Linked DNA regions of Ovis aries. Each later gene encodes a partner of the first gene's protein in a complex. Links are inferred from orthologs where the notes say so. Each region holds a gene or a part of one and is shown in the gene's direction. Other genes may lie near its edges.

Region 1 (5,720 bases):
TGCAGGGTGTCCGAGGGAGCCAAGCACAGCCTGACAGCCCCAGTGCTCAGCTAGCCCTCATCGCCGCCAGCCAAAGCTTCCTGCAGGCAAGGCCCCCTTGTTGACCACTCAGACCACACCCTTCCCACTCCTCTTAGGGCCTTTAGATCTCATCAGTTTAAGTCTCTGCCCTTAGTCTCTCTCCCAGTACTGAACCCTAGTGCTCACCACATCCTGACCCTCATCCATCCCTGTACCCAAGCCCAGAGGGCATATGGTGTGCTTCATCTGCCCACCTATTCCCCAACAGCCAGGTGGGAAGATGGTGGCGGCCGCAAAGGCCTCCGTGCCAACAATTCAGGACCAGGCATCGGCCATGCAGCTGAGTCAGTGTGCTAAAAACCTTGGCACCGCATTGGCTGAACTCCGTACTGCTGCCCAGAAGGTATGGAAGCTGGCTATATTTTTGGAAGATGAAGGGGGTATCCTGGGATAATGGAGAATCTGTTCAGGCTATCCTAAAATGGATAACTGTAACCTGAGCCACAAGTGAGACCCTGTGTACCTCCTACCCCTCGAACTCTCCCCCTTCACCCCGTGTGTTTGTAGGCTCAGGAAGCGTGTGGGCCTTTGGAAATGGATTCTGCTCTGAGTGTGGTGCAGAATCTGGAGAGAGACCTGCAGGAAGTGAAGGCAGCTGCTCGAGACGGCAAGCTGAAGCCCTTGCCTGGGGAGACAGTAAGTACTTGTGAGATCTGAAGGCTCCTTCTCACCTGTGTCCCAGAGCTGCCCTGAACCTTTGTTGAAACTGCCTGCTGACTCTCAGTAGCTTCTCAAGCTCTCTCTTCCCTGTTTCTCCTGTGGCTGAGTCCGAGTCTCCCTGTCATCCCTAGATGGAGAAATGTGCCCAGGACCTGGGCAACAGCACCAAAGCCGTGAGCTCCGCCATTGCCCAGCTGCTGGGGGAGGTTGCCCAGGGCAATGAGAATTACGCAGGTATGCGGTTAGGGCCAGGATGGGGCCTGTAGGGAGAAGGAGGGGGAATGGGAGCTGTAGGAGGCGTGGGGTGACACAGGAAGCCCCCAGCATCAGGGGTTGGCAGTGAAGCTACCTTTTTTCCTCCTTTCTCTCTCGTTGTCTCCCCAGGCATTGCAGCTCGGGATGTGGCAGGTGGGCTGCGGTCACTGGCCCAAGCTGCTAGGGGCGTAGCTGCCCTGACGTCAGATCCTGCAGTGCAAGCCATTGTGCTCGACACAGCCAGCGATGTCCTGGACAAGGCCAGCAGCCTCATCGAGGAGGCGAAGAAAGCAGCCGGCCATCCTGGGGACCCTGAGAGCCAGCAGCGGCTTGCCCAGGTTCGGTTTTGGGCCGAGGCTGCTTCCTCCCTCTCCCCCGACCCCCTCAGAAGGCTGCCTCGAGGGGGTGTCTCGTCAGCACTGTGGCTCCTCTCTGGATTCCACCCTTCCTTCTCAGTCTGAGTAGAAGAGTCTCAGCGAAAGCGGGGCCTGGGCCTAGCCAAATACCACATTTGGGGAAGTTTGATACCCTAACTCGATACTTTGGCTGTTCAGCTATAGCACTCCCTTTCTGCTTTCACTTTCAGAGGCTCCCATGGGTGGAGGCGGGGATCTTGCAGTTGTTTCTGCTTTGGCAACCCCTGTCTCCCTTCCCACCTCAGGTGGCTAAAGCTGTGACCCAGGCCCTGAACCGCTGCGTCAGCTGCCTACCTGGCCAGCGTGATGTGGACAATGCCCTGAGGGCAGTGGGAGATGCCAGCAAGCGACTCCTGAGTGACTCGGTAGGAGGACAGGGGTGTGAGGGGACATGGGGACAAAGGACTCCAAGTATCTACCTCTAGACCTATCCATCACCCTAACTCCCCAGATGCACCCCCTCCCCTCACTGCTCCCCCAGGCCTGTGCCCACCTCCCCAAGCTCCCTCACCAGGCTCCCTCTCATGTCATCTCCCATCCTTGCTCCTGACTCTCTCTCTGATCCTGCAGCTTCCCCCCAGCACTGGGACCTTTCAGGAGGCTCAGAGCCGGCTGAATGAAGCGGCTGCCGGGCTGAATCAGGCAGCCACAGAGCTGGTGCAGGCCTCTCGGGGAACCCCTCAGGACCTGGCCCGAGCCTCAGGTCGATTTGGACAGGACTTTAGCACCTTCCTGGAAGCTGGCGTGGAGATGGCAGGCCAGGCTCCGGTATGAAGGGAAGCTGGGTACGGTTCAAGGGTCAGGGGTGTCTCTGTGACCAAGGAGTCCTGACCTGCTCCTGGCCCCCTCCCCTCCCCAGTCTCTAGCAGTACTTGGGTGTCTGAGACAGAGAATCCCTTTTAGAGACAGACAAGAAAAGATTGAACAATGCATTGGCCTTCTTGCCCTCAACAGAGCCAGGAGGATCGTGCCCAGGTTGTGTCCAACTTGAAGGGCATCTCCATGTCTTCAAGCAAACTTCTTCTCGCTGCCAAGGCCCTGTCCACAGACCCTGCAGCCCCAACCCTCAAGAGTCAGCTGGCTGCAGCTGCCCGGTAAGTGGGAGCTGGGAAACCAAGTCCTTGCATGTTAAGCAGACTGGGGAGGGGACGTTTTGTAAGAAGTCTCTGGCTCAGGAATTGTTCCAGACAAAAAAGAAATGGCTAGAGACTTGCTACGTGAGCAGGATGTAGAAGTGATGACCTCTGCACTCATTCACTCTACTTCCTGTTCCTCCCAGGGCAGTGACCGACAGCATCAATCAGCTCATCAGCATGTGCACCCAGCAGGCGCCAGGCCAGAAGGAGTGTGACAATGCCCTGCGGGAATTGGAGGTGGGCCTTGGCAGGCTAAATGGGGTTGAAGTTGAGGAAAGGGTTCTTGGCTAAAGGGCAGTGATGGGGCGTCTTGGATCTCAATTCACCACCAACTGCACCCCCTTCCCCCACCCGACAGACTGTCCGGGAACTCCTTGAGAACCCAGTCCAACCCATCAATGACATGTCCTACTTCGGCTGTCTGGACAGCGTCATGGAAAACTCGAAGGTAGGTGTACCCAGTCCCCTCCCAAGGAGGGGAGAGGGTAGGAAAATGAGCCAGCCAGGGGCTGCCCTCTCCCCCTGAGGACAAGATCTGACTCTCCCTATACCCTCTGTTCCCCAGGTGCTGGGTGAGGCCATGACCGGCATCTCCCAAAATGCCAAGAACGGAAACCTGCCAGAGTTTGGGGAGGCTGTCGCCACAGCCTCCAAGGCCCTCTGCGGCTTCACCGAGGCAGCTGCACAGGTTATCCTCCTGGGATGGTCCCTGGAACTCCCCTGTTGTCTCTAGCCCACCTCCTCGGACTCTGACCCACATGCACAGAAGACAAAGTTATAAAGCCAGCTGTGTGGAAGATGGGGATCTTTCCCCACCTAAAGTAGAGGTGTTTGTCAGCAAGCATAGAACACCAACAATTCTGATCACTGTCACCGCTGAGCCCTGGTGCTTTCAGTTGTGATTACACTGAACAACCACTGAATCTGGCCCCAGCTTGCCTGGTATATTCTGCCTAGCATATGCAAATTATTTTCATATAATTAGTACTTTTTTTTTTTTTTTTTTTTTTTTTTCACTGAGCCACACGGCAAGCTGGCTCTTAGTTTCGTGATCAGGGATCAAACTCATGCACCCTGAGTTTGGAAGTGCTGTCTCAACCACTGGACCCCCAGGGAAGTCCACACATAATTATTACACCAAATTCCCAGTTACTTGAGTCACCACCTAACTTGCCATTTTCTGCATTATGAAGTATAAAACGATCCATCGGCTCAGAGTATTTTGCTTTTATTTATGAATCCTTAAAACAAACTGACTTGAGAGCTCATCCTGTCAGCCTGTTTCCTTCAATCTCCCTGCTTCCCTGTGCCCTGTTCTATTGGGTGTCCTGCTGTATATGGTTTGACGTATTTCTGGAAAAGCATGAGGAAGAAAATGCAAAGCTATCATGTGTTGGGTGAAGTAAGAATCAAACCTTACGATGATCTTCCAAGCAGAAACAGTTTTTGGCAACCATCCCTTCCCTCTTTCTAAATCTCTGAAGCTTGGAGGCGTTATGTGTTAATTAGCCTAACACCACCCACAGTTTTATTAGCCCCTAAAAGAGGCTGTGTGTGTGTGTGTCTTTCAAATTTTTTTTTTTACCAGCACTGAGAATAAGCACTACTTTTTACCTTAAGATCCAACATACAAACACATAAACAGGTGAACTGAATTTTGATAAAAAGCTTACTGTGCTTCTTTTTTTTTTTTTGTCATTTTTTAATCTGAGATGTTTGAACACATTTAACAAAACAGGAGAGGTTTTTCCCTCTTTTATACTATAATTGCAGTTTGCTAGTGTATCTCCACTCACGTAGAACCCTGGCCACTGAACTTACCCCTGCTCCCCTTTGTCCCCACTGTGGCTATTCCAGTCCTACCTCAGGAATATTCCTTATTCCTCACCCCACTCTTATCTCTCTACAGGCTGCATACCTGGTTGGCGTGTCTGACCCCAACAGCCAAGCTGGACAACAAGGGCTGGTGGAGCCCACACAGTTTGCCCGAGCAAACCAGGCAATTCAGATGGCCTGTCAGAGTTTGGGGGAGCCTGGCTGCACCCAGGCCCAGGTAACTCGGGGGTGCAGTCACTGTGAGCAAGCCTGGGAAAGGCTGCTGAGCCAGGACAGGCCGCCCCCGTGGTGGGAGAAGGTGCAGGACGTGCAGCGCTGGGTGGCGCCCCAGTGCTGGCCTCCTGCCCATAGCTTCTCTGGGCCACTGTCTTCTCTGGCTGTGTTTCTCATCATTCCTTCCGCTACTGCCTTTACTTCCATGACTTCTCTATGGAGGTTTGAGCTCTGTCTCCTCCTGAGCCTGTGAGCGATTTCTCCATTAGTGTGCCGGCTTTTCATTTTCCTTTCTCCTACACCCTGCGCATCTTTGGGTATCTGTCTCCCAGATCTTGACTTTCAGGTGACTCTGTTTTTCCTAATGAGGCTTCCAAAGGATTGCTGTCCATCCCCCAAGCTGAAGGGGCTGCTCCCCGGTGTAGACACGGCCCTCCTGCCCTCACATGGCTCTTCCACATCTCTGCCTCCTCAGGTGCTCTCTGCAGCCACCATTGTGGCCAAACACACGTCTGCACTGTGTAACAGCTGCCGCCTAGCTTCTGCCCGAACCAGCAATCCCACCGCCAAGCGCCAGTTTGTACAATCAGCCAAGGAGGTGGCCAACAGCACGGCCAATCTTGTCAAGACCATCAAGGTTCCCAGTGTTTGAATTCTCAGCCTCTCCCTGACCTGTCCAGTCTTCTCTCCCCCGACCCCTACACCCCGTCATTCCCTGAGGCCTTTACCCAGTCCCACCTGCCTAAGCCCAAGGTCTTTCCTGTCTGCACTGGTCACCACCAGCCCTGCTTCGTGCCCTTTGAGCTCCGGAGGGAGACCTGGGCTTCACTGCCTTTGTCTACAGTCCATCCTGAGCTCCTCCTGTCACTCCCACTTCAGGCGCTGGATGGGGCCTTCACAGAGGAGAACCGTGCCCAGTGCCGAGCAGCAACAGCTCCTTTGCTGGAGGCTGTGGACAATCTGAGCGCCTTTGCATCCAACCCTGAGTTCTCCAGTGTTCCTGCCCAAATCAGCCCTGAGGTGAGGCAGGGTGAAGGCATGAACTGCTGGCCACCTCATCTTGTTTCCAGGAGTCTTGAGACTCACCCCTCGGCCTCCCCTCTCCCCAGGGCCGGGCTGCCAT
Region 2 (5,720 bases), on another chromosome or scaffold:
AATAAGAGCAACAGCATTAACATTTTACTGTATAATAAAAGATTGCATCCTGAACAGTTCTTTTCTTCAAGTGACTAAATATTCCTTTCTTTGATGTCATAACTTAAGTCTTAATGAATTATATATACAGCGTGTGTGTTACAGGTACACCATTACCAGAAATTTTTCCTGTTGTTTATAAAAACAAACAACTTCATTCTCATCAGTCTCAGTTGATATGTTTTGTTTCAAAGTGTACTTTCTAGAATAATTTTTAACTTGTCATTTTTTGTAGGGGAAAAAAATCACCTAAAGTGTGCAAATAATACAGTTTTTAGAGAACACGTTTAGAGGGAACATGGGTAAACAGTAGATGATTCTTTACTTAATGAATAATTTGCCCTGCAAAAATGTAAGTATCCCGAATAACTTTGGGGCTGGGGCTCTGTTTTCACAGAGTTTAGGAGTCGACATTCTTCCTCCTCCAGATCCTAAACCGCCCAGAGTTGAATTTAACTACAGTGTGGGGTTTAAGGATTTAAATGGTAAGCATCGTTTCTTTTCTTGAGTAATTTGAAATCATAGCAATGACTAAAATCTGTCAGAGTGTAATTCGTAGCTCTAGAAAACTAGGAATACACTTCCTTAGTTCTACATACATTCTTTCTGAGGTTTTAAGAATTGATTTCACTTAATTTTATGAAGAAGTTATGTGCAAAAGAACACTGGCTTAGGAGGAAATAAACCCTTTTTACATAGTTAGGAGATCCAAACTTCTCCAAGCGCTGTACATGGAACCATTGTTGTTGTTCAGTGACTAAGTCATGTCCAACCCAGCGACCCCATGGACTGCAGCATGCCAGGCTCCTCAGTTTTCACTGTCACCTGGAGTTTGCTCAAATTCATGTCCATCGGGTTGGTGTCCCTGAGATCTAACCATTTCATCCTCTGCCGCCCCCCTTTCCTTTTGCCTTCAATCTTTTCCAGCATCAGAGTCTTTTCCAGTGAGTCAGCTCTTTGCATCAAGTGGCCGAGGTTATCAGAGCTTCAGCAACAGTCCTTCCAATGAATATTCAGGGTTGAACCATTAGCATTAATGTAATAATATGCTGTATGGTGTTTGTGCTAATGATGTTGGGCAATAAATGATTTCCCCATGCCTTCTGATCCTTTGTTCCTGAGAAGGCTGTATTTCCCCCATCCCCATTTCCTCAATCTCGTTCACGTTGCACACAGCAGCTAGATTTCTCTTCCTCATCATCACTTCCACCCTGCTCGCCCTTTGTTCATCACACTCACCCTCCAGTGACTGCCTGATCAGCCACGTGCCGTCCCAACTCAATTCACGGCCGTGGCTCCCTGGATGCACGTGATCTCACAGTAATCTCACACGTGGAAGAAATTCCAGCGAAACCATCCTCCCTCCCCCTCACTCTGAAAATCTGGGTCTGCCGTTTCCTTTAAGAGTTAACTCCCAGGACTTCCCTGTGGTGGAGTGGTTGAGACTCCTTCGTGCTCCCAAGGCAGTAGGACCAGGTTTGATCCCTGGTCAGGGAACTAAGATCCCACAAACCATGTGGTGCAGTCAAAAAAAAAAAAAAAACACACAAAACAATACTTAACTGCTAGTATTAATGTATAGAAAGTCTTGAAAACAACAAGAGAAAATTCTTTAAAAAAAAAAAAAAGAGAATTAACTTCCAACTCACTGTCTTATGAAGTCTTTACCAGTTAATCCCAATTTTTCAAAAACATTTTTTTCACTCTTAATGCCCTTTGTGCTTTGTTTCCTGCTGTTGCTCTTTTGAGATGTGAGAGTTGCTCTTTTGAGATGTAAGAGTTCCCATGATTGGATGGTGTGCCCACAGAAACTCTATCCTCACCCCAAATCTCAAGGCACATGAAGTAAATCCCAGTTGGTGGAGACCGACTCTCTTCCAAGTATATTTGTTAGTGTTGCTCTGTTTGCCGCTGTCCAAAGACCTGGGAGAACTTTCCATCCATGTCCAGCCTCTCCCATCCCCTACTTTGTAAAACTCTTAAGATTTTGCACCAGAATGCACAAGAATTTCCTACATAGGCATCCAGTCAGCACTTGGATTTCACTTTATAAGTGGCCTGTGAGGATGCTCAATGTAGGGAAGGCATTTGCCTCCCTTGTTTTTTGTTTTTTGTTTTTTGTTTTTTTAGGGGGGAAGGAAAGGATATTTTTAGCTTTATTGAAGCTAACTTGATGAATAAAACTGTATTATATGTAAAAGTGTACAATGTGCAGATTTGGTGTGCATCTACATTGTGAAAAGATTGGCCCCATCAAGATAGTTAACCTATCTATCTCCTCGCATATTTACTTCTTATTTTAGTGAGAATGTTTAAGTTCTACTCTTTCAGCAGATTTCAATTATACCATACAGCAAGTTAGCAACTAGAGTCATTGTGGTATACTTAGATCCTCAGACCTTATTTGCCTTATAAAAGTTCATATTCTTTCACTAACCTCATCTTATTTCCCCGACTCCAATCCCTGGCAACCTGTACTCAAACTTACTCTTTTTTAAAAAATTAATATATTTTTTGAAGGATAATTGCTTTACAGAAAAACTGACACTTTAAAATGACTTTCATTTAGTTTTTCCAGGTACACATCATTATCTTGTTCATGAATGTGATTTTCCCTATCAGAGTCCTTAAATGCACTGGAAGACCAAGATTTAGATGCTCTCATGGCAGATCTGGTAGCAGACATAAGTGAAGCTGAGCAGAGGACAATCCAGGCCCAGAAAGAGACCCCTCAAAAGCAACCTCAGTCAGCATCCCTGTGTGTGCCAAGCTTCAGTGGTACAACCTCTCTTGGTTATGGAGCAAATGTTGCTGCAACGAGTCAGTATGATGATGACTTACCACCTCCACCAGCTGATCCCGTGTTAGACCTTCCGCTGCCACCACCCCCTCCAGGACCCATCTCTCAGGTAAGTCCATGGGGTCAGGACTCTTGACCTCTGCCACCCATGGTCTCTGACTTTCTTCAAAGTGACGGTTCCATTCATAAATGTGTATGCCCGGGGCTCTAAGATTCAAACAAACAAGGATCCCAGATGTGTTCATTGCAAAGTCAGATGTAAAATGCCTGTGAAAGGACACGGTGGTGAGTATAAGGAACTTATTATGGCCATATTCAGGAATTATTATAGTTTGGCTAAATCTACATTTGTATATGGCTTTTCCTGATAATACTCAACCTTTCGGGGGTCATATTTGATTAACTTGGTGTGTGCTTTGGAAATGATTTACACATTGCTGTGTCCCTGATCCTTGCCCAGTACCTAAAGAATAGAAGGCATTCCTTACCTATTTCTAAATTGAACTAAATGGAATTTTGCTGAATTTGACAGCCTTGTTCATTGGCAAAGATATCACTTGTAAAGTCAAAGTTGGAAGGGGTGTTATGGGCAAGCAGGTGGTAAGTGTTTGATATTAATAGATTTCTGAGAAGTTCATATTGTCAATATTTGGGATGTCAGTTTATGTCCCTCATCAATGCAAAAAGGGTGCTTTAAGGATTTTGCTTAGGGTAAGCCACTTTTAAAATATTTTAGAAAAATTAAAAAAATAATAAAATATTTTAGAGAAATAACCTAGCTCTATTTCCTGTGGCTCTCACATTTATTGTACTGTATGCTGATCAGTACTTATAAATACAACCCTAGGAACCCTGAAAATCCCTACAATATCTTTTGGATGAATAAATAGGAAATATAAACAAATATCAAATACTACTCATTGCTGTATTATGTGATTCTTGTATAAAAATTATTTGAAAATTGGTGATCCATTTAGAACAGAGGCTCTTTTTTCCTCCAGTTTATTGAGATATAATTGATGTATAATATTATAGAAGTTTCAAAGGGCCTGGTTGAGTCCAAAAAACTTTTCAGAGAGAATTTTGTACATTTATATTATTTACAGCAAGATGCAGTAACATGGGGCTTCCCCAGTGGCTCAGTAGTAAAGAGTCTGCCTGCAAGTCAGGAGCCGCGGGAGACATGGGTTCCATCTCTGGGTTGGGAAGATGCCCTGGAGGAGGGCATGGCAACCCACTCCAGTACTCTTGCTTGGAGAATCCCATGGACAACAGAGCCTGGTGGACTACAGTCCATAGGGTCGCAAAGAGTTGGGCACGGCTGAAGAGACTTAGCACGCACATATGCAGTAACATAAGACTTCCCTGGTGGCTCAGTGGTAAAGAATCCAGCTGCCAATGCAGGAGATGCAGGTTCGATCCCTGGGCTGGGAATATTCCCTGAAGGACATGGCAAGCCACTCCAGTATTCTTGCCTGGGAAATCCCACAGACAGAGGAGCCTGGCGGGCTACAGTCCTTGGGATCACAAAGAGTCAGACACGACTTAGCAGCTGAGCACAAGCACGACTATACAAGTTTAAGTTACACAACATGGTGAGTCTTAACCACTGGACAGCCAGGCAGGTACCAGTACAGCCTTTTATCAACAGAAGGTGACTGCGACGCTAGCAGTGTTGGGAATACTCACTCGCTTGTATGATTAATGGACTGTGTTCGTGTCTTACGTTTTACAGGAAGAAGAAGAAGCTCAAGCCAAGGCTGATAAAATAAAACTGGCATTGGAAAAACTGAAGGAGGCCAAGGTCAAGAAGGTAAACTATGAATCACTTTTACATGGGGCAGTCAAATTAACAACTTCTTCATACGCTTAAGGGTAAAAAAGTTTTACATTCAAGTGGTACTTTCCATTGAGTTGTATTTTTTTTAACTGAAGGACAAAGATAAATTATTCTTTCCATGACATCAGTTGTTCATTTGTGATTGATAAATAGGGAACCTATGTTAGTGTCAATGTAGAAGTTTCTACCCCCAGGGCTCCCTCCCCTGAGGATGCCCTCTGGGTTCTGCTCACTCTTGGGTAATAGCAGGTGGCATCCTCTGCTGGGCCCATCTCAATTTGGTTAGAGTTCAGCTTCCACTGGCATCACCTCACTTCCACCGTTGCTTTTGTGCATGTTGTATACCCCCTGGGGCAGCCCCTAGATGCCCTGGGTGTCCGAGTTCTCCCCTGAAGTTCCAAATGTTCTTCTGGCCGGTGCTGTGTGTTCAAAGTGGCGTAGGTTTCGAGTCACCTGCCCAACCCTGTGGTCCCAATAAGCGTGTAATTTATTGTGCATTTTTCCGTAGGTTTTTCCAGAGATGCATTTATTGTGTTGTATCAGAAACACACATATTTAACCTCAGTAAAAGCATCTGTCTAATAAAGTGTTAGTAATAGTTAATTTGGTAAATTAAGAGAAAGATAAAGTCTCACCTTGACCCCTGAGGCATATGCTATGACTGAGACTCATTAAGAGCTTTTTAATTACAGTTGGGTGAATTATTCCTTTCCTAGAGGGCGTTCGATTTTATGTTCCTGTAGCCTCTCTCATGGTTCTTTGAATGAAGGAGTTCAACACATGCTGATTGATTTTTAATAAATATTCCTTCGTTACCTCAGGATACAGACAGTCACGGTTCATCTGTGAGCACGTTGCCAGATCAGCCTGGTTCCTTTCATTTCAAGCACGCATGCGCCCTCTTACTATTTCCCTTCCTGTTCTCTATGTGTAATTGCATTCTGTGGTCGGTTAGTGAGCTGATGCCTCTGAGGGGGCTGTTTCCTTCCCCGCCTCGCACTCCGTGAATCCCTGGTTAAATCCAGCTCTCCTTCTGCTCAG
Region 3 (5,720 bases), on another chromosome or scaffold:
CTCACAGCCAGCAGAGCAGCATCTCCTGTCTCTCTGCCTCTGACCTTCCCCCTCCCTCTTATGACGACCCTGCGATGGCACTGGGCCCCTGGGAATCCAGGATCATCCCCATCTCGGGTTTTAACCCCACCAGCACAGCCCATTCTGGGACCAGAATATGAACACCCTGGGGGTTGGGGCAGATATGTGCTGAGCACTCGCACTGAACAGATAACCCTCACAGAAGCCAGCTTTCTGGGTGAGGATGCCGGCTCAGCAGGGCCTGGGCTTGGCCAGAGGGCCCCGAGGAGCTGGGCTGGAGGGGGTGGTCGTGGTCCCGAGAGGTGAACATCGCTGGCCGTGGGGACGGGGACCGGGGGTGTCCTTGGCTGGCTGGCTGGCTCTCCATCGCCTGGCGGCCTCGGGGGCTAGCGCTGTCACTCTAGCCTGGGCCGCAGCCGCTGATCACTGCCGCCTTCCGTGCTTGGGCTCCCCAGCGATGGGCTGTGCCTTGTCTCCACCCGCCCTCCCACTACCCCTGCCTGCAGAGCTGCGTCAGCGTGGTCGCTCCGCGTCCACCCCCACATTGCGTCTCCAGGCCTATTTACCACGCGGGGTCCCTACCACCTCCCCAGGGGCACAGGGTGTGTGTGGGGGGCGATGCTGATGGCAGAGGCCAAGGGTCCAGACTAAAGCGTCCCTTCTCTTCCTCAGGTTCGGCCCAGAAAAAGACAACCCCAGTAGAGGTGAGTGTCCTCGGGGGCCCACCCTCCCTGCCTCCCGAAAGTGGACGGGGCAGTACCCTGCCCTGCCCGCATCCTGCTCCGTGGCCTTAGGCGTCTCACTGCACTTCCCTGGGCCTCAGATGCTGGCATAGCAAATAGGCACATGTCGTCAGACAGTGGAAACGGTCTGTCCCACCAGCATCTTGAGTTTCTGGGAGGGATGGGGTGGGTGGGGAGAGCCCCGAGGGGCCTGGAGAGGATGGCCCCCTGCCTGTCCCTGTCAGCAGTACCTTCAAGCCGGCCTTCCCCCCCACCCCCTGCTGTCCCATACCTGCCCACCGAGGGTCCCACTGGTCCTGTCCCCAGGCAACTTTTCCTGGTGGTGGCCACTTGCGTGAGCCCTTGGCACCCTGTCTCTAGTTTGTTGGTTTCCGGTCACTCCTGGAAGCCACCTGCGAGGGGCGTCTGAGCCCTGTTGTCTGAGGAGCCATGGACAGCAGGTTAGAGGACCCCAGGTATAGCGGGAGCCACCCTGACAGCCATGTTCCCTCCCAGCCAGGCTCCTCTCCCAGGACGCTGCTGGGCACCCAGGGTCCTTCCTGTGACGGCTTTGCCCATCTGCTGGGGCCCTGGTGGGTGTCCAGCTGACAGGCAGTGGGGAGCCAGCGAGGGGTGCAGAGCAGGGCTGGCAACTAACGTTGCCTGAGGGAAGCCCGCCCCCTGGTGGCCAGCGTGCAGAACAGGCTGGTCTGAGCCCTGTGAATGGTGGCAAGTATGCACCATCTTTGGGGCGGCCTCGGCCCAGCTCTTGAGCTGGTGTGTCTCCTTCAGGCCCCATGGCCCTGTGCACCATCTTTCCCCTGCGATGTCACACAGGAGGGCCAGTGGCTTCCGCACAACTTTGCCAGGATGTCACTCATATGCTGTGGAGCTGGCAGGAACCAGCCTGCTCCCAGACCAGCGGGACCTCTCCCTCATCTGGGAGGAGATACTCTCATTTCAGTCCAAAGGGTTTCACCCAGCCACGTCTGGGAACATTCGTGGTTGTCACAACTGGGGGCCTCCTGGCAGAGAAGAGGTGGGACAGTGATGTTGCTATGCACCCCACAGCACCCAGGGTGCCCCCCTAGAGAGTGACTAGCCCCAAGTCAGCAGTGCTGGGGGTGGGGGTGAGCCTGGGGTGGGGGTGACCCTGGAGTTGGGGCTTTTCTCCCTGCAGAGGGCCCAGGCTGCTGACTTTCTTTTCTGGAGGTCCTGGTCTGGGTGTGGCCCCTAGATGTGGGATGTCGGCCCCCAGAAAGGAGCCCCCGTGCCCGCAGCCTACCCAGCCCCCGCCCCAGACTCCAGCTGGGATTTCCAGAGCATTCTGGTTTCTCGCCAATTCTGAACTTCTTCCTTCCTCTTCCCCAGGTCCCACTGATGACTGGACAGCCCGGCCCTGGCCATGGGAAGAAGCTGGGTCATCGAGGCGTGGATGCATCTGGCGAAACCACCTACAAGAAGGTTCCTGCTCTTCCCTCAGTCAACGGGGGTGGGACAAGGGGGCCCCCACACGTGTGCACGGGGCCCACGGAAGGTCAGGTGTGGGCTGTTTGTGGCTGGAGGCTGCACCACCTGCCTGGCTCCTCAAGTCACTGTGGCCTTGACTGTGACCTTGGGTGAGAGGAAATTGCAGCTTCCTCCCGTCCCTTGGGAGTGGGGCGGAGGTGAGGTTGGGCCAGGGCTGTGCGTGGTGAGCTGGTCCCGCTGCTGCTGGTCCTCTCCGCCTGGTCACACCTCCTAAAAACACCCACCTCACTGAGAGCGAGTGTGTGCAGTGAGTGAGTCACCCTTCTGAAGTGTTCAATTAGACGGTTTCTAGAGTATTCAGAGCTGTGCAACCATCGCCAGAGTCAATTTTAAAGCATTTCTCTCACCTCAAAAGCCCTGTCCCCATTTGCCTCCCCCATCCCCTGACAGCCAGGAACCCACTGTCTGTGTCTGTGGATCAGCCTGTTCTGGACATTTGCCGTCAGTGGGGTCACATTCTGTGTGTCCTTCTGTGTCTGCTTCTCTCACTGAGCATCGTGTTCTCGGGGCCATCCACGTGGTAGCGAGTGTCAGGGAGAATCGGGGGTCATCCATGTGGTAGCGAGTATCAGGGCTTCTCCCTTTTTGTAGCCGAGCGATGCTCTCATGGGCAGGGGGACCATGGTCTGTGTATCCACCCTCCACTGATGGACCTTTTCTGGCTGTTGTGAGCAGTGCTGTTGTGAGGGCTTGTGTCCAGATGATTTTGGGGACTGCACTGCCCTCCTTGGGCCGCAGTCCTAGTAGTGGAACCGCTGGGCCCCCCGGGGGGTCACAGGTAGCCCTTGGAGGAGCTGCCACACAGTCCACCGTGGCCATCCCATTCTCCATTCTTGCCAGCTGAGCATGGGGACTCCACTCCCCGTCCTGTGTGGTGCTGGTCTGTCTGATCTGTCCCTCCCGATGCATGGGCAGCAGGTCTCACTGTCTAGATTTGCACCTTCCCTGCGTCTGGTGGTACCCAGCACCTTCTGTGCTCACTGGCCATCTGTGTATCTCCTCTGGAAGACTGTGTTCAGTCGATGTCATCTTGAGGGAATGGATGGAGGTGGGGCTTCGGGAGGAGGGGTGGGCACTTGGGAAGGGCTTGACGCTGCAGCGGGGGTGCTGGGGACCCGAGTCGGTAACTTGAGGACCAAGGCGTCTTTCCTCGATGGTGGGCGTGTTGCTTAAGGCTCATGGTGACGGTGACGTGAATGGCAGTGCTGACAGATGGACAGGCAGCTGGTTCTTCTCTAGGGAGGGCGGCATGAGGGGCCCCAGGAAGGCCAGTGCCAGGGTGGAGGACTGGGATGCAGAGAGGCAGATCCCTTTGAGAGTAGACAGAAGGAGCCCGGGTCTCAGAAGGGAAGCCTGGGCATTGCTGGATGCTGTACTCCTGCTTCCCAAAAGAGAACCCTGGCAGTGGTAGACCCTCCCCCATGTCGGGGCAGTTCTGAGCTATAGGAACCTTCTAGAATGTGGATAGAAAACAGGCCACGGGGCCACATGGTGGTGTTGGAGCCTCAGCCAGGCCACTTCCTGGCCATGTGGTTATGCAGGCTGAGTGGTGGGCCTGAGGCCAGCACGTCTGTGACGGGCTCGGCAGGTGCTGCCTGGGGACCCCTTGGAGGTAATGGGTGTCAAGGGCTGAGCCACAGGCCGGATGCTGCCCCCTTCATCCTAAGGGGGCTTCCTGTCCTGTCTCGGACCCTGGCAGCCAAGGGATGGGCCCCAGGGGTTTTGATGCAGCTGGGTTTCCCGCAGACCACGTCCTCTACCCTGAAGGGGGCCATCCAGCTGGGCATCGGCTACACCGTGGGCAACCTGAGCTCCAAGCCAGAGCGTGACGTGCTCATGCAGGACTTCTATGTGGTGGAGAGCATCTTCTTTCCCAGGTACCCTGCCCGGGCCGCTCCAAACCCTCTGTACTCTCCCTGCATGCACACACCGCCCCCCTGCTATTCTTTCAGCCTTTTTCTCTGCTGGAAATGGCTCCGGCCCTTCCTGGGCTCCCCTTGCCTTTGAGGTCCAGCCCTGTGTTAGTCGGGATGTTTGCTGCTGAATCAGAGAAATGCAATAGAACGGCAGCTCTTAGAAAGAGAGGAAGACAAAAGTTTGTTGTTTCTCTCTTTCTAATATGTGTGTGCGCGTGTATACCTAGACACACACACACACACACACACAGTCCAAGATTGGAAGATTGGTCAGGTGGCTCCATGATGTTACTGGGCCCAGATTCCTTCTGGTTTCTCCACCATCTTCTATGCTGCTTTACAAACCAGTGGCTGCAAGAGCCGCCCAGGTTCCTGCCATCACAGCTGCATTCCAACCACAGGAAAGAGAAGGAGAGCACATGCCCCTGCCCTTTAAGGGCATGACTAGGAAAAGACCAAGTCATTCTCCTCTCATGGGATTGTGCAAGCACAGCACCCTGATCATGCCTGGCTGTGGCAGAGGCTGGCAGTGGTCTTATTCTGGGTGGCCATGTGTGCACCCCACACTGTGGGCTAATGAAGGAAGGGGAAGGTGGTCATTGGAGGACAATCTGAGACTGGCCACAGCCCTTGGTCCCGTGTCCAGCATGGGAGCCCCATGTCACTTTTTGGGTTGGCTATTCGGGTGCCTTGGGGCTGGGCCTGGGCGGGTAGGCAGACTGTTGGTGGGGGAAGGGAGTGTACATGGGCCTGGGTCCCTCACAGTCTCCCCCCTGCTTCCTCTGCAGTGAAGGCAGCAACCTCACTCCCGCCCATCACTTCCAGGACTTCAGGTTCAAGACCTATGCGCCTGTTGCCTTCCGCTACTTCCGGGAGCTCTTTGGGATTCGGCCAGATGACTACTTGGTGAGTGTGTCCTCAGCAGCCTGGCTCGGGGCTTAGATCACCACCTGCTTGTCGTCCTCGGCCTCCATGGGGCAGGGACATGGCTGCAGCGTTGCTGGGCTCCTTGCTCAGGTTGTCATCTGGGGCTGGGCTGTGGCCTCAAGTGGACTCAACTGCATTGGGTCCCTTCCAAACCCCTGGCTTCATCAGCCAGGCTCTGTCCTTGCTGGCCAGGACGTCCATTCCTTCCAGATACTACGGTCTCCTCTGTGACTGTCCCATGGAGCCGACCGAGACCACTTCTGGGATCACCCACCAGCCCCTGGGCCTGTGCGGTGTCGGTGACCACCCCCATCCATCCACCATCCCCTTTTCAGTACTCGCTGTGCAACGAGCCGCTCATTGAGCTGTCTAACCCCGGTGCCAGTGGCTCCCTGTTCTACGTCACCAGCGACGACGAGTTCATCATCAAGACGGTGATGCACAAGGAGGCCGAGTTCCTGCAGAAGCTGCTGCCCGGCTACTACATGGTGGGGAGCCCGGCCGCCCCTGGACTTAGGCCTTTCTCCCTCTGCTGAGGAGCTCTGGGCATCCCCACCTTGGGAACTACCCCTCCTGGGAGCCACCCCCTCCAGGAACTATCCCC

What was found. The genes of interacting proteins can lie anywhere in the genome.
Region 2: the proteins of TLN1 (region 1) and APBB1IP are in contact, whole or in part, in a crystal structure (PDB 4W8P), measured with the Mus musculus proteins. The link is inferred for Ovis aries from reciprocal best matches to the Homo sapiens genes TLN1 and APBB1IP. Residues at the interface, in NP_035732.2 of Mus musculus: Leu1492, Ala1495, Thr1496, Val1498, Ala1499, Thr1502, Ser1503, Cys1506, Asn1507, Arg1510, Val1526, Ala1529, Lys1530, Ala1533, Asn1534, Thr1536, Ala1537, Val1540, Ile1543, Lys1544, Asp1547; in NP_062329.2 of Mus musculus: Asn5, Ile8, Asp9, Met11, Phe12, Thr14, Leu15, Glu18, Met19, Leu21, Leu22, Ser25.
Region 3: the proteins of TLN1 (region 1) and PIP5K1C are in contact, whole or in part, in a crystal structure (PDB 1Y19), measured with the Mus musculus proteins. The link is inferred for Ovis aries from reciprocal best matches to the Homo sapiens genes TLN1 and PIP5K1C. Residues at the interface, in NP_035732.2 of Mus musculus: Pro209, Val210, Gln211, Leu212, Leu214; in NP_032870.2 of Mus musculus: Pro646, Leu647, His648, Tyr649, Ser650, Ala651.

The regions. Positions count from the first base shown.
Region 1 is NC_056055.1:52,827,719-52,833,438, forward strand, and holds part of TLN1 (talin-1), read left to right. Parts: coding exon 1-86; intron 87-289; coding exon 290-424; intron 425-588; coding exon 589-717; intron 718-872; coding exon 873-975; intron 976-1,125; coding exon 1,126-1,334; intron 1,335-1,657; coding exon 1,658-1,777; intron 1,778-1,982; coding exon 1,983-2,180; intron 2,181-2,366; coding exon 2,367-2,506; intron 2,507-2,691; coding exon 2,692-2,785; intron 2,786-2,906; coding exon 2,907-2,996; intron 2,997-3,113; coding exon 3,114-3,236; intron 3,237-4,457; coding exon 4,458-4,601; intron 4,602-5,072; coding exon 5,073-5,234; intron 5,235-5,476; coding exon 5,477-5,617; intron 5,618-5,706; coding exon 5,707-5,720. UniProt on the Homo sapiens protein: High molecular weight cytoskeletal protein concentrated at regions of cell-matrix and cell-cell contacts. Involved in connections of major cytoskeletal structures to the plasma membrane.
Region 2 is NC_056066.1:17,352,431-17,358,150, reverse strand, and holds part of APBB1IP (amyloid beta A4 precursor protein-binding family B member 1-interacting protein), read left to right. Parts: intron 1-436; coding exon 437-524; intron 525-2,661; coding exon 2,662-2,948; intron 2,949-4,574; coding exon 4,575-4,652; intron 4,653-5,720. UniProt on the Homo sapiens protein: Appears to function in the signal transduction from Ras activation to actin cytoskeletal remodeling. Suppresses insulin-induced promoter activities through AP1 and SRE. Mediates Rap1-induced adhesion.
Region 3 is NC_056058.1:18,080,669-18,086,388, forward strand, and holds part of PIP5K1C (phosphatidylinositol 4-phosphate 5-kinase type-1 gamma), read left to right. Parts: intron 1-693; coding exon 694-725; intron 726-2,114; coding exon 2,115-2,207; intron 2,208-4,019; coding exon 4,020-4,150; intron 4,151-4,977; coding exon 4,978-5,095; intron 5,096-5,451; coding exon 5,452-5,604; intron 5,605-5,720. UniProt on the Homo sapiens protein: Catalyzes the phosphorylation of phosphatidylinositol 4-phosphate (PtdIns(4)P/PI4P) to form phosphatidylinositol 4,5-bisphosphate (PtdIns(4,5)P2/PIP2), a lipid second messenger that regulates several cellular processes such as signal transduction, vesicle trafficking, actin cytoskeleton dynamics, cell adhesion, and cell motility.